Drosophila melanogaster: one gene and its partners. The protein of the gene in region 3 interacts with the protein of the main gene of each other region in a pairwise test. Each region holds a gene or a part of one and is shown on either strand. Other genes may lie near its edges.

Region 1 (3,525 bases), on a different chromosome or scaffold from region 3:
TATTTGCTACATTAGCGGAGGTCGGGGTGGCGACTTAAATGCATGCATTTAGCCATCTGGCTGCATTTCGTACAAGAGTACAAGAGTGTTAATTGAGACTTCTTTTTATTGGCGTTCCGGAGTGGGTACTCATGCGGAATGGTCAGGACACACAGATATTTCCCATATCCGAGTTCAAAAGCAAGGCTCTGCATGCAAATCCCGAGCGAAAGGATACGTTACAGGATTCGGGCAGCTGCTACTTGGCGCTGTGGAACGCCCACGTGCCGTAGAAATGCCAGGAATGCCGTCCCGGAATTTCCAATCAATTTTAATTGGCACCCCATCGATGGAGGACAGCGAGAAGAAATCCAAAATATTTGTGCATAATTTTAAATAGAACATTTTTCTATTTGCGCAATTTATCTTGTGAGTTCGTTTTGGTGGGACACTTTACTTAGGAACCGGTGGCAGACGTTCAATGGGTGTCAGAACCAGTGCAATAAATTATTTTAAACGAGCATATCGAAGATGTGTCGCCCTCTAAAATTCAACTCACACATGTGCCGTTGGGTATTCGAAATATTTTTATGGCTAGATCCCTGGCCGGGCAGTAGGTATCGTCATAGGGATTTATGTGCAATCGGGGGGCTCGGAAATAGGAGATAAATCTGCTGCCCACTCAAGCGGCCAGCCAATCAAAGTTGCAGCCACTTGAATGCTCGCAGCGGGACACACTGTCTCTCTCTCTGCTCTCGGAAAACTCATTTAAGTTTTCCTCGGCCAGAGAGATAGGTGAAAAGGATAAGGTCGACTCCAAGGGATTGGCCAACTTTGGTCCGGCTTAATTGCCCAGTGTCCTTGCAGCGAAAGGGGAGGCTTAATTGCCTCAGCCTCTGATTGCGACTCCGATTCTGCCGTTTGACTCCAGTGCTTAATTGCCATTTAGTCCTTTTTAATGGACTCCACTGTACGGGGACACTGGCCCATGTTCATTAATGACCAACACGGCTAGATTTCCGCTCACCTCCTTTCGTAACTTTTGCGAGACCCTGTCGATACCAGATAGACTTGCAAATGCCAGCATTTTAATGGCAGCATTTTTGACTTATCTGTCCATCTGGGCATCCTGCATGTCCTGTGTGTCCTTCGTGCCCCTTTGCCCCAAAGGGGCTCTCAGTCCGTTTGTGTTGCATAAATTTGTCCAAATTGTTTTGCTACCGTCCGATAAGACGCCGTCGATGGCATGACAATTAGCCCGAAACTACATTTAAAATATTACTTGTGGTCCACCGAGTCTGTGGTCCTGTATCCTTTACCCTCGTCCTTTGCCGGCATTAATTGTTTCTTGGGATCGGCTGTCGAAAGTGCAAACACAATCGGATTGCTGATATCCCGACTATTGACTATTCGTCGAGAATGGCAAGTGGTTTATTTCGGGACATATGTATACATATTGATTTCAGAGCTATATTCAAGCAATTTTTAATTGCCAATGTGCAATGTTATCTTGTATAGCTTTTTTATTCATTCGAGCCATTTATTATAATGGTTTCCAACGGACAAATCTATGTTTTTTCCCTCGCTTAATCTCTAATCTTTGACTTGCTGACAAGATAAGAGAAATAATCGCACTGAAGCTAAAATCAATTCTATTTAAAATTAAGAAAGACTGCCAAATTGTGATCATTAAACAGATCGTAGTCGAGGCTTACGGAATTCAGTCGCAAGCGCAATGAAGGTGATCGCAGCCGTTTTGCTGTGCTTATTGATTATCCGCACGGCCCATGGACAGTGTAAGTGCACAAAGCGGAAATTAGTACCCAAATAGGAAACCAGATCACTTACAGACGTGAGTTGCCGGAATCCCAACCAGCGGACTGGATATTGCGTGAACATCCCCTTGTGTGTGCCACTGAATTCCGTGCTGGCGAAGAGTAATCCTACAGACTCCGAGATGCGGTTCATCCGAGAATCCCGTTGCCTCGTATCTGACCAGAGCGATCTGCCATTCGTCTGCTGCACTCCGGATACGGACTACAACACGACGCGTGCTAGACCTAACGACGAAGTGATACATTCCACTTTGCTTCCCGATCGGTCCATCTGTGGGGGCGATATAGCGTACAACCAGATCACGAAAGGCAACGAAACCGTTCTCACTGAATTCGCCTGGATGGTGCTGTTAGAGTACCGTCCTCATGATGGACAACAATTGAGAACATACTGCGCGGGATCACTGATCAATAATCGATATGTTGTAACAGCGGCTCACTGCGTGTCGGCTGCTACTAGGGCCCGCAAAGGAGATGTGTAAACGGCCTTATACTTGTTGCTATGGTTTTTTTTTTATTATTAACACTTAGCTCTTTCAGAGTCTCTGTGAGATTGGGCGAGCATAACACCAGTGCCGTGGTGGATTGCCTCAATGGAAGGTGCCTACCGGAACCTGTGCAAATCGCGGTCGAGGAGATCCGCATACATGAAAGCTTCGGTACCCGATTGTTTTGGAACGACATTGCTCTGATCCGTTTGGCGAGAGAGGTTGCCTATTCGCCCAGCATTCGACCTGTTTGCTTGCCCTCGACTGTGGGTCTGCAAAACTGGCAATCCGGCCAGGCGTTTACCGTGGCAGGATGGGGTAGAACCCTTACCAGCGAAAGCAGTCCCGTCAAGATGAAATTGAGGGTAACGTACGTGGAGCCTGGCCTGTGTCGTCGCAAGTATGCTAGCATAGTGGTCCTGGGTGACTCCCACTTGTGCGCCGAAGGTAGAAGTCGGGGTGATAGCTGCGATGGGGACTCCGGCGGACCACTGATGGCATTCCACGAGGGCGTTTGGGTCCTTGGGGGCATTGTGTCCTTTGGCCTGAACTGCGGCTCACGATTCTGGCCAGCTGTCTACACAAATGTTCTTTCTTACGAAACGTGGATCACGCAGAATATACGACCTTAAGTTTATGCTCTCTCCATACACAAGCATAAATAGATTTTAATAAGGAAAGGTAGTTGTGAACTCACCTTATCAATAAATGTGTTTCTGAATATTTCTGATTCATACCACCAATGCCGATTAATCAAGCATTTGATATATTACACCTTCTGAATGGGTCTTCTTGAATGCCCAGCACTGAGTTCAACATTATCCCACCTCCCCCTTGGCTCATTTCAACCTGCCACTTGAGGCAGCTTCTGCCCATGGTGCACTTACATTTAATGAAAAAAGGAGCATTATTATTAAATTATACCCAAGAAAAAGTCCCTTCTCTCACCCCTTCGTTGGCATTCGAGAGCATGACATAAACATAAACTTTGCGCCTTTTGTGTGAGAGCGAGTCCTGCGGGTGCTCCTTGTATGTATATGTATATACTTATCCTGATCCTGGCCGGCGGCTAGCAGCAACAACAAGAATGGCAACAAACACCTTTAATATTTTCATTATGAAGTCATTCAGCGCGATTATTAACGCGTGACCCCCAAGGCGATGCACAGCATCCAGAACGAACGGTCAAAAGCGGACAAAAGTTCAGGTCCACCCTAATGGAC
Region 2 (2,764 bases), about 12 Mb from region 3:
CAGTGGAGGAAATTCCGGGCGAAAGCCTTTTGCCCTCGACTTTTGTTGTCTCATGTCCTTTGGTTCCAGGCTTCTATTTTGTTGAGAATGGCGTTATTGATTCCAAACTGGTTCCTTTCCGCATTCCCGATGGCAGATACATGGTACTTTTTGAGCTGATACAAGTCTACGAGGAAGTTATGAAGCTGATTTCATGCAGAATCAAGTTTTCCATTAAGACACCACCTGGATACACGGAACCATCGCTGTTTAAAAATAGCGAGGAAAATAAAGCGACTGAGAAGCCAGTAGAGAAAACCGAAGAAGCAAGTACAGAGGTTACTCAGTCGAAAGAGGATAGTTCGGAAGTATCAAACGATTACGAATAATGTAATTTTTGTAACTTAAATTTTTTCAAATATATTATACATGGAGCCTCTCCCTTTTTTGCTAAATTTTTTCACCCAAAAAAACAATTTTTACACATTTTCTGCAAAATAGTACCATCTATCACCGAGTTTCGGGTGCGTAATAAAATTTATTATCTCCCACTAAAAATTCGCCGGGATTGAGACATATCGCACATGTTACAGCCACGCCCATAAATGTTAATTAAAAAACCCAGGGGCATGGGAAATATATCAAACATGAATTTAAACCGCGCGAGACAAGCCGACGACAAAGACTAACTCAAAGATATCCATTCAATCCAATCTTTTAATTTGTTGTCATGGTAAACTTTGTTTGTGATATCCATTCGACACGTATTTGTTTTTGTGGAGTACAAACTGTGGAATGTTTTTTTGAGCTGCGTTGACATTGTGGCGGCATTCTCGAAAGTTCGTTATTTACATATTTAGAGCAGGGCGAATGTTTCCGGTTTTCAGCTGCAAGATCGTCGTCAGCATCATCAATACTTGCACGATGACTGGGCAAAAAAAACACTTGGCCTCCGTACCAATCATATGTTGGTTTTTATACCATCGCCCAGCCCAAAATGGTTCCGTCGTTTAGCTTAACTTTTATTGATTTAGTATTCCACTCTACAGGCCTGACAGCTGTTCAAAGTGTCAAATATTTATGGATCCTCTGCTCAAGTGATAATTTATATTTTAATTGGCTTGACCACTGATCATTCGATCATTGGATCTTGAACTTCAGATTAACTTACCATTTGAATTGGGTGATCGAGGGGCTCTAGATACACTGAATTAGCAATTAAACTGCCTGGCATTACAATTTCCGCCTTCTTCCGGGTTTTGTTTAAATATTACTCCGCTGACCGCATTTGAGGTGACCTTCATTTGTCGATGTCTTCATTTACCCAGTCTGATTATTATTTAATCAACGATCAACTTCTTCAGTGGCTTAGCGAAGCAAACAAAAGATGCCACCACCAAGTAAACAGGGCAGCCTGGTTTTGCTGCTCGGTCCCGCTGCCGAAAAAATTGGCCCGAAAAAAAAAAAAAACAAAGCACCTGCCTCAACATGCCACGCCCCTTGAATCGTCTGCTTTTGGCCAGGTTTTTCTGTTTATACTTCTTTTTCGCTTACCGTCTTATTTATGCGAGACTCTTTTGTTTATGTATCGTTCATTTGTCCTCTTCTTCATTGCAAACTGCAGTTTACACATGACATTATCATCGATGGTCACCCAAAAGTTTGGCTATAAAAAGGCCTGATGCCAGATGGAGCCATGTGCAGTCGATATTTGGATTAATCAGCGTAATCATCTCCCCAGCAGCAGCAATCATGAAGTACCTAGCTCTGGTGAGTATTTGGATATAACATTTGGATTAATAATTGGATTAAATGATTTCCAATTAAGTGCAACATATGAAGTTGTTTGTTGAAGTATATTAAATTTTCAATTTGTACTAAAAATCTATTGTAATTCACATTTTTCAGACCATTTTCGTGTGCCTTATGGCCATCGCCCTCATTTCTGCCGTGCCCGTGGATGAGTCCCTGATCGGCGATAATATCTACCAGCCTGCCTTCGACGATGTCCAGCGTCCCCAGGATCCGCAGGCCATCTTCAAGCTGAAGAAGCTGCTCAAGTTGAAGAAGCTCCTGGGTTAGGAGAAATTCGCAATAAGCTTCGTTCAGATTCTAGTCCAGCCAATTGGGAACCTTGCCTCCCCCACTACATTCGATTTTCAAACCGTTTTGTTTAGACAATACCCAATAAGCACAAACACACAAACACACACAAAAGCACATACATACGAGTAAAGTATACGTAATCGTAACTAAAATAAATGTTATTTTCATACACGTCGGCTTTTCTTATATCATCGAAGCGTCGGGGATGAGATCTCCATGTGTGTCCAAAAAGGAGCTAATGACTGGCAGCGGGTCGGGTTTTTGTTTGCCTAGATCTGAATAAGAAACCCGTTTCGGATCGTTTCTGGGTAGAGAGTGTGAAAAGCGAACGGAATCTTCCTTACATGCGTATAAATATTGGCCAATCTCAGTCGTAAATGAATCAAGTGGGTTCAATGATGTGCTAATACAAGGAGCCCACTGTGAGATTAATGATCATACCTACTTTCATTAATTGGCATGATTAGTTAACTTGATATGCCAGTAATATTATAGCTTAACTAAATATAATATATTAAATATTTTCAAGTATCAAAATTATGTAAAAAGTAACGATAACTCATCACATATTGACATATTGAGAGCTGGTCACGAAAAATCGGACATGATTGCCATCAAGTTGAAGCACATGGTTCCAGCCTTTCAACTTACCATAAATTTTAACATTCAGGTGTATTAG
Region 3 (4,336 bases):
AACTAGGTGGGAATATACACGATCGAATAAGCGTGGGTGAGTTCAAAGATTACTCAATCTATATATTCTACAAAGATAAACTCAAACTTAAAATGATTAATATTTGAAATTGATGACTGTTGTTTATTGTAGATTTCATTAAAAATATATTTAATACTATTTAAGGGCATTATGGCAGCAGTGGAAGTGCTGGCAAAAGTTACGCCTATGACAGTCAACCTTATCAGTATGACTACGGACCATCCAACGGACATGGCTATGAGCCAGGACCTGCTCCTGGGCACACCTACTCCTCCAGCGGAGAGGCAGGGGTGCCATACCACGTTTATCGACCTCGACCCGAACATGGCCACTACCCGGGGCCAGCAGTGGATTACTCCTACAGCTCCTACCCCATCGACTCCCACGAGATAGTCTCCCACAAGGGATCGCCAGAGATCTCACCAAAGGCCTTGCTGGCCAAAAGCTTCCTGATTCCGCTGGCCAGTGCCACCGTTCTGGGCATCGCCGCCGCCCTGGTCAGTAATCCTCTCCTGCTGCAACTAGCTCCTGTTCCGGGGATCGGTGTGGGAGTGGGTGTCGGACCTACAGTCGTTGGCAAACGAAGAAGGAGAAGAAGGGCAGTGAAGCGGGCTTTACGATCAGGGAATACTGATGCAAAACTGAATAGCTCTATCTAAGTACCGTCCTCTCGAAAATGTATTAAATCAGGAAACAATATATAAGATATTATTTTTAATATATCATATAGTTACAAGCGTGTTTTTTATTTAAAGTCAGTGATGGCATTTAAATAATTTTAATAATTTAAATAATTTAAATTAAGGGTCTAATGCTACGAGAGCCTAATAATTAGTTGTCTATATGGAGAGAATAAGATAACGTAATTTTAAGTGACTTGTGGAACCTTTTGTAATGGCTATATGTAAGTTTTTTTTTTACATTAGATTGCGTAATTAGTCGACTGAGGTTCAAACCGGCTCGTTGGTCTAGAGGTATGATTCTCGCTTCGGGTGCGAGAGGTCCCGGGTTCAATTCCCGGACGAGCCCCAGTCATCCCAGTGCGCTAAGGAATGTATAATTTTTAAACAAAAAAGTTATATTTTATAAATATTTATTTTAAAATATTTTTAAGTTATTGAGAATACACATTTAGTTGCATGTGTACACAATTATATACAATTTACTTAGGGAATGAAATAAATTAAAAGTTATTTTATATCATTAAAAACAAACTAAATTAAATTAAATTAAGGAATTTTTTAGCGTCCTCATAAATGTTGCAAAATTGTTGAGTCTTCGGTTTTGTACGGCTTATGTCATAATATATTGAAGATAGAGAAAAAATTTGTTTAAAAAACAGCTAATTTTATAACTACTCTAAAAAATATTATAAAACACTGCATTTAAATGATAAATTAAAAGTTGCTGATAAGTAATACGTTTAGAGTGGGTGAATAGCTTTAAACATTCGGATAAACAAAAAATCATTTTAAAAATCATAAAAATAATTTTAGTTCTATTAAAAAATATGATATCATGGATATTGATCCATACCAAAGAAAACATCGCCGATAGGTGTGTGTCTTCGCTAGGGAAAGTGTCTCCGCTAAGGTATCTTGAGCCAACAAAGTACATAACGCGTTTCATTCCAAACGGTATTTATTTTTTGACCTTGTGGTATTCTAACTTTTTGTCTGTGCTATCACTTACAAACAAGTTTTCCCGGCATTTTCGACCTATTCAGGTGATTTTCTAATAATTATCACATAGTAGGCAATGAATTTTACACGGACTAATTGGTAAGTGACAGAAACTAGTGTAGAATTCAGAAAATTAACCCATGAATGCTCCTCAGCTCGCCGCTGAGTAAAAACCCAGTGGTGCAGCGCAGCCTGGACTTGCGATTGCAGGGCGCCCAAGCGCGGCATTACCTCAAGTGGTGCTCCATAAATGTGGTGCTGCTGTCGCTACTCCTCTTCGACCTCTGGCAGGCATGTCGGTCCGCCTACAGGACCTACTGGTTCCTGGCGGAGTGCACCATTACGACCCTGATTGGCCTAAGTGCACTCGCCTGCTTCGGCAAGTATTTGTGGTTATGGTTTGGTGGTGACCAAGTTACGGGTAGCGATATCCAAAAGTGGCTGCTTGATGGCAAGGCAGGTGAGGAATCCAAAGGAACCCGTTCTAACGCATCCACTTAACCACTTTTATTCCTATAGAGAACTCTTTTCGTACAGTTTGCTCCCGAGCCGTGATGAAACCACGCAGCTACGAACCGGATAGCGATATAGAGGACGACATACCCATCATCAACTGGCACTCCTCCTTCGAGGACTCCTGCTGGGGCTCGCAATCCATGCGCCGCAGCCCCAGTCCCACAAGGACGCCGCAGCAGACGAAACAAAACACCTCTTACAACTCCTCGATGGTTCGAAACAACTCGCTGAATGCCAGCAATCTGAGCAACGAGTCTACCTATATGTCCCCGTATGCGGAGGTGCGACGCGATGACTTCATGACCGATACACGAAAGTTGACCAGTCTAATGAAGCAGGCGGATCGGGAGCGCAGCATGATGGACAGCTCGGATACACCCAATGTGCAGAGCATGGGATCGGCCAACTCCTTCTGGAACTACTGCAACAATGCGGCCTATATGCTCAAGACCACCATCTATCAACTATCGCCACCTCCGGCTGTTTCTACGGAAAATGCTCCCACCTCGATTGAGGAGTTTGGCGGTATTCAGTTTAGGGACAGCAATTCGGAGGTCATCAAGCGCATATCCACGGACAAACTGTCGCAATATGTGGCCAACCTAAGATTTGTAAGCATCCCGTTCAATATTCCACTGCAACGTACTAATGTCTTACCATTTTCTAGTGGATTTCTACGACCATACTTCAGCGTTTGGTCAAAGAGATCAATTATGTGGACGATGTTTTCCGCCAGCGAGCTCTGATTGACATTAAAATTGGATCTGTGAGTGTAGAGAGATTACGCAAAACAGCCGAGAACCAGCAGTTCGTGCAGACGTGTGCGCCCATGTTGCCCATGCTCTTACCTTTCCTGGACACCTTCAGCAACCAGGAATACCTGGTGCAGCGCATCAAGGAGCTTGCGCAGGGCTCTTGCATAGCTGACTACCGCTGGTACTCGGGCAAAACACACAACGGTCAGCAGCGGGACGAGCATTTGCCCACCGATGCAGCTGTGAGTATACGAAATTCCGCAACTGAGCACTCTTGATTAATTGTAACCTCATTCTGCAGATAATATTCCATTTATTTTGCGTGTACTTGGATAGCCAGTTGATGCCGTTGCCGCAGGGCGGCGGACGACCCTTTCACTCCCGCTACGTGTTAATTCGCGACGAGAAGAGCTCGACCAAGGACGTGGTGAACGCAGTTCACAACAAGGCCCACTGCGCCATTTTAAGTACCGGCAACCCACTTAACCCTAAATTTAACTTTATCAGCGACAAAGAACTACACAACTGCGTCTACGATAGGAATAACCTGTTCTACGTTATCATACAGTTCCTAATTTATATGCGACAGCACCAGGACTCTGCTCTGGAGTGCGTAAATCTTGGCAAAAGTGGTATCAACATCATGTGCGTCATCGAAGACTGAACAGTGGAACTAGTGGCTATGACTTTTAATCCCACCCCTAATCACTCCTTACTTCTAAGCATGATCCTTTGTGACTCGACTAGCGTTTGGTGACTGGACAATCCTCATCATTCGTTACTATGAAATTATACATTTGTAATTATTAAGCCAACTTACGACTGTTGTGGTTTCGCGGTTATCAAGTGTCGTGTGGCCTGCGGTCTGTGCAATTAACTTGTTTGGCAGTCGGCGGTAAGCTATATTCGCGGATATGTGCACACAGGTGCCCGACTTTAATTGCCCTTTCATGATTCTCACTATTGACCAGCCAGTTGGTGACCTGGCCATTGGCTCGGCCAGCGACATGCTCCCACATGCTCGCCACTTTGCACTTCCGAAAGTGACAAAATTAATGGTTTCCGCCGACGCTGTCGACATTTTGTCGAGTGAGAGACATTGAGAAAATGCTCCAAAGTAGTGCAAAATGAAGGAGTCGCAAACGGAGACCCCTAAAGCAGGCGCCAGGACGAGCAGGACCTGGGCCCTCTCGACCAGTCACATTACCATTTCTCTTGGCCATGCTCATTTCTGGGCTCTGGCTTGACGTTGAATCGGTTGGCTGGTTATTTTAATGCCGCCCATACTCCCGGATGCCCGGATGGCTGGATGGCTGGCACCTCGGGTGAGTAATGTGCCTGGGTTGTCAACTTTACACTTTT
Region 4 (4,657 bases), on a different chromosome or scaffold from region 3:
TTTGTATGTAAATTTTCTGCAAATGCTCAAGGTTGAATCTCTGGGTATAAAGTGCTTATTTATTTTGATTTTTTGTTCACATAAATTTTACAACTAGGCGTGGCTTGCCGGCACCTAAAACTTGTGTTACAATATATTGTCGTGCGCGGCATTAGTTAAAGGACTAGTGAAGTGCATTCTAACTGGGAAAAACATATCCATGTCTGGTGAGTACAGTCGCAGTCTAAATTCTGATGATCAAATGGAAAATTTCAGAGCAAGCGGAAATATTACCTGCCATCTCTGTCCATATAAGGAGGATCATTCTGATCTAGCATGGTCAATTCATCGTGAGCTTTTCCTCTAGTCATACAGCCACTAGAAAGCCCTTGAATCGATCGTATTCATACTTCCCCCAATATGGCAGACGCGTGTTTCGGATCTGTGAGATGGGATCAGCTTAGGGCGACATGTCTATACATATTCATCGTCTCCCCCGCCGACTGTTTGCACATGTAAATTTGGCGCGGCTAGATTACATGGTCAGTTACGTGTTATTCGGTTAGAATTCCGCAAAAAGATCTTGTGCTCGGCGGCCATGCAGCGGACTTTGAGACGAAAAATGCAAATGTTTGCTTTGTTGCATTGCTTGGGTTTTTTGTCGAAAAACGCATCAAAAGTGCAGGGTAATGGTGAGATTTTTAGCAGGTAAATTAGAATAAAGGTAGTTGAAGGGTCGTTAATTGAGGGTAAGTAAATCGTCAACCAAGCCGCTGTCAAAGTTCGATCTAATTGCTTAGCTCACAAAAATCGACTACGTAACGTTTCAAGCTTGCACAAATAACAAGTAAGCGTCGGGTCCTCCGAAATATTAAGTATCCGCCAGGTTGCCTGCAACATCCAGGTCTCGGTAGCCGCTTTTCCCATTCGGGAATTTGTATGTTTCAGAAGTTCACGGCGCATTTTGGCCATTTATTGGCCATCACGAAGGCAAACGGAGGAAAGCCAAGTATTGGTCATTATAAATATTTAAGAGCCCAAGAGGCAAACTGGTTTGGTCAGCCCCATCTTCTTCTGCTTTTTACCGCATACGTATCCAAAGATTGGGCTTTGTTGCTGGCAACCTTTCCGCCGCTCTCCCTCGCCGTGATTTGATTTGATTTGATTTGATTTGTGGCTACGTTAATTTTTGCACACTTTTCCGATATGAAGGGCCGGGCCTGGGCAGGGGTTAATTAACGGACATTCTTGCCGAACTTTGAACTGTGCAATCATGCGCGCTGCCAAGACGCGGCAAAAGTACCGCTCCGATATTTGGATTGGCGGCAATTAGCGCCGCACTTGGGTGTGGGTGCAAAGGCGGGTGATACCCCCACTGGTGGATACCAAGAATTCGATTCCAAAGGGCCGCTGGCCGATCTCGCTCTCGCTCTGGCATCCTGACGCCCGACCCGATCGCTTCGGCTGTCAGAGCGAGAGCACACATCGACAACCTGTTGCTCAGAACCTGTGGCTAGCGACCGAAGCTTTCGACTTCGGCTCACCTCAACGCCAGCGCCATCGCCACGCTCGCCGAAAATGAGCGGTCGGCGGCGCCGACGATCTGCGTCGACGTCTGCGCCAAGTCCGCTCCTACGACTGCGAGGCGGTATAAAAGTAAAGCGGCAGCGTGAAATCAAACTTATTTCAGTGTTTTTGATTTGAATGTAAAAAGCGCACGCTCGCCCAGTCGCTGTCCAGTTGTTGTCCAGTAAAGTCCAGCGGAGCAGCAGCAGCGGCAGATCGGTCGCATCAGCAGTAGCATCAGCAGCAGTTCCCCGCAACAGTGATGTAGAAACCATAAAACCGTATAACGATGGTCAAACAGTGTGTGCGTGTGTAAAACAATAACTAAAAACCTACAAGCAAGAAAAACGAAAAAAAAAAACGAAACGAAACGAACAAGGATAGTGCGCTAAAAAGTGATAATTCGTATACCAAAGTCGAGAGAATCTCTGTAAATTAGTCAAAAAAAAAAAAAAGAAAAAATAAATAAATACAGTACGCTTCCTTGTAACAAACGGAATATAAACGCGCATTTAGTACCTGTTGAAGCGAATTTTAGCACAATGGTAAGTAGCGGGGGTTCCCGACCGAACACCCAGTGTGACTCAACGGAAAATTGATGCCACTGAAACCTCCTTTATTAAAATGCCTTTGCAACCAGTAATTTCGATGCCGACCCCCAACATGCAAGCCTGAATAAATAAATATACATGATCGTACGTTGACTTGGGCTTTCCGTTAAATCCCACAACCCACAAATGACCCTTTGCACACGACTCGTGTGTGCTGCTGCTGCTATTAAGCAAGAAATTAATAATAAAAAAAAAAATAAATAAAGCTCCTATAATGAATATCCGCAATGCAGCCGTTAAAATTAATTGAGCAAATTATTAATCGAGAAAACCTCTCGAGCACCAGCCATTCCTGGTTCTTATTCGTTTTCTTTGGAAATGGAAAAAAACCGCACGCCAGCAACTGGTTTTCGTTTTCAAGTACACATTCGCTAGCAAGGTTTTCCACTGTTTTTTCCCAAATGCATTTTTGCCGACTCCGCGCAGACCTTTCCACGCTTTTCGCCCACTTTTCCCCCGCTTTCTGCCACAAAACATGAGCGTTTTGCTCTGTTCTGTTTTGCTAGAGCCATTCGCTTTCGAGCTCCGCCAAAAGTGCATACAGAAACTGCAAGTGCTGCACTTATTTCGAAGCTGTCGCTGTGTTATGTCCGCAGTTGCAGCAGCAGCACTTACACCAGCAACATCACTGGCTGGCGGTCAAGTGAAGTGAAGGCTGGCTTTTGGCTTTGACCAGCTCACTAGCCCACCAGCTCACCAGCTCACCAGCTCACCAGCTCACCAGCTCACTGGCATGACAACATTTCACACGGAAATGCAGTGCATCGCTGACCTTGAATCTCGGCCGGGGATATGGGATAACTGGCGATCGGAGCGCAGGTGAAATGATAGCCAGTCAGGGCCAGGCCGACTCATTTGTCCCGTCCACCTTACTTATGCTTTCGGCCCATCATTGCAGATGCTGCTGCTGTGTAGAAATCCAGTGATTTTCATATTCATTCAGCAGCTCTGCAAATTCGAGAGAAAAAACCCCAGTGGGTTAACCAATCGCCGCCGCTACTACCGCTGGCTAATGATCACTGGCATTGCACCATTTCACAAAAAAAAAAAAAAAAGAAAAAAAAAAATAAGCAGGCAACCCAGAAATCGAAACTTATTCAAATCTTCGAGTTGTTTTCTTCTCCTTTTGGCCTCTTACACAATGATTATTACACCTCGATTTTATTTTCGACTGGGACTTTTGCCGCATTTTTGTGTTGCCTCTTTTGACACTGAAAAGTGCAAAGGCGCTGGCGGCGAATTTTACTAGTTGCCAGTTGGCTATGGGCGGCTATGGGCTATCGGGTCTGGGTTGTTTGAGGCTGCTTGTTGGAGCCAGAGCCACTGCCACCCAGCTGCCAAACTGCGCAGCCCCCGCCAAGTGATCATAATAAAAAAAAATGTGCCTTAATCAGCCGATTTGCTTGCATTCCCTGTGGGCCAGTTAGCTACATTGGAGAGCCAGTCTCAGACGCATTGACGTCGCTTTATTGTTGACTGCCGCTCGGCACTCAGCTGTTTTTTGGTAAGAGAATCATGTAGAGAGCATATAGTAAACACAAAACCATAGGCAGAGTGCCCTCTTAGTACTTAGTGTGTGTGTGTGTGTGTGTGTGTGTGTGTGTGAGATAACGCTTGCCGCATGTGACTGAAATCGCAGTGCATTCGCTGCTCCATTTCGATTTGTTTGGCTCCACACGGCGTATGCGCGATTTTCTCAGTAGCTAGCTAGTCTTCGTTCACTTCAATTGCGAATATGCCATTTGGGCAAAGGTTTATTGTTCTACATAAAAAAAGTGCGTGTCTCTCAGCAATTTTTTTACTGGCTGTGTATATTCCCGAGCAAATTAACACTTAAAAACTGATAACGCAAGCGAAGAGAGGAATTCGAGGTAGATAAACGTAAAGAGACCATTAAACGGAGAGTACCTGAAAATGATTACATTTATGGACTCTTATCGGCCCGTGATTGAAGTAAGTGTCATTTGAAATTCAATTATTGCTCGTTGGAGATTAGACAGAAAAGTTATGCCAGTAAAGGTGTTAAAAACACTAAAAATAACAGCTTTTAAATTATTATTCAAACACGCTGGCTTGCATATTTTACAGCTCTTTGAGTGCCTTTTTTTTTTTGCAATTTTATACAAACTCTTCGTTCCCGAAAAAACAATTAATTTATACATATTTGTCGCTTTAAACTGGGTCGGTTGGATGAATTTATTTGTATAAATTAAATTATTTAGTGGGCCATGCTGTCATACCGAATTCGTGATTAAACATATTTCCATTAGTGCGAATTTAGATGGGACTTAGGTGCTAAAGTTGTTCGATTTTGTTTTTAAGTATTTTAAAAATGTTTAATAATATTTTCTAAATAATTTCCTTGTCGTACAACAATAAATTACAAATAAATTCCATTTTAAAGCAACGAACGCATTTGCAGTAATATATTTTCGACACATTTAATCCGAACACAAAATAATTAAATCAACATCAACATTGTGGGGCTAAAGCAAAATTTA

What was found.
Region 1: the proteins of CG6479 (region 3) and CG11313 interact in a two-hybrid assay, tested with the Drosophila melanogaster proteins (one large-scale study listed by BioGRID).
Region 2: the proteins of CG6479 (region 3) and CG15212 interact in a two-hybrid assay, tested with the Drosophila melanogaster proteins (one large-scale study listed by BioGRID).
Region 4: the proteins of CG6479 (region 3) and Elovl7 interact in a two-hybrid assay, tested with the Drosophila melanogaster proteins (one large-scale study listed by BioGRID).

Annotation. Positions count from the first base shown.
Region 1 is NT_033777.3:30,729,336-30,732,860, reverse strand, and holds CG11313 (uncharacterized protein), read left to right. Parts: upstream 1-1,695; 5' UTR 1,696-1,714; coding exon 1,715-1,775; intron 1,776-1,829; coding exon 1,830-2,292; intron 2,293-2,345; coding exon 2,346-2,934; 3' UTR 2,935-3,024; downstream 3,025-3,525.
Region 2 is NT_037436.4:5,129,873-5,132,636, forward strand, and holds CG15212 (uncharacterized protein), read left to right. Parts: upstream 1-1,672; 5' UTR 1,673-1,731; coding exon 1,732-1,749; intron 1,750-1,887; coding exon 1,888-2,061; 3' UTR 2,062-2,255; downstream 2,256-2,764. Other genes in the region: CG4597 (uncharacterized protein), read left to right, coding at 1-368.
Region 3 is NT_037436.4:17,336,623-17,340,958, reverse strand, and holds CG6479 (uncharacterized protein), read left to right. Parts: upstream 1-1,696; 5' UTR 1,697-1,779; coding exon 1,780-1,802; intron 1,803-1,822; exon of another isoform or gene 1,823-1,847; coding exon of another isoform or gene 1,848-1,858; coding exon 1,859-2,163; intron 2,164-2,222; coding exon 2,223-2,830; intron 2,831-2,886; coding exon 2,887-3,216; intron 3,217-3,275; coding exon 3,276-3,638; 3' UTR 3,639-3,787; downstream 3,788-4,336. Other genes in the region: CG13727 (uncharacterized protein), read left to right, coding at 1-36, 166-680.
Region 4 is NT_033777.3:7,992,853-7,997,509, reverse strand, and holds the start of Elovl7 (ELOVL fatty acid elongase 7), read left to right. Parts: upstream 1-1,657; 5' UTR 1,658-2,087; coding exon 2,088-2,090; intron 2,091-4,657. UniProt on the Drosophila melanogaster protein: Catalyzes the first and rate-limiting reaction of the four reactions that constitute the long-chain fatty acids elongation cycle.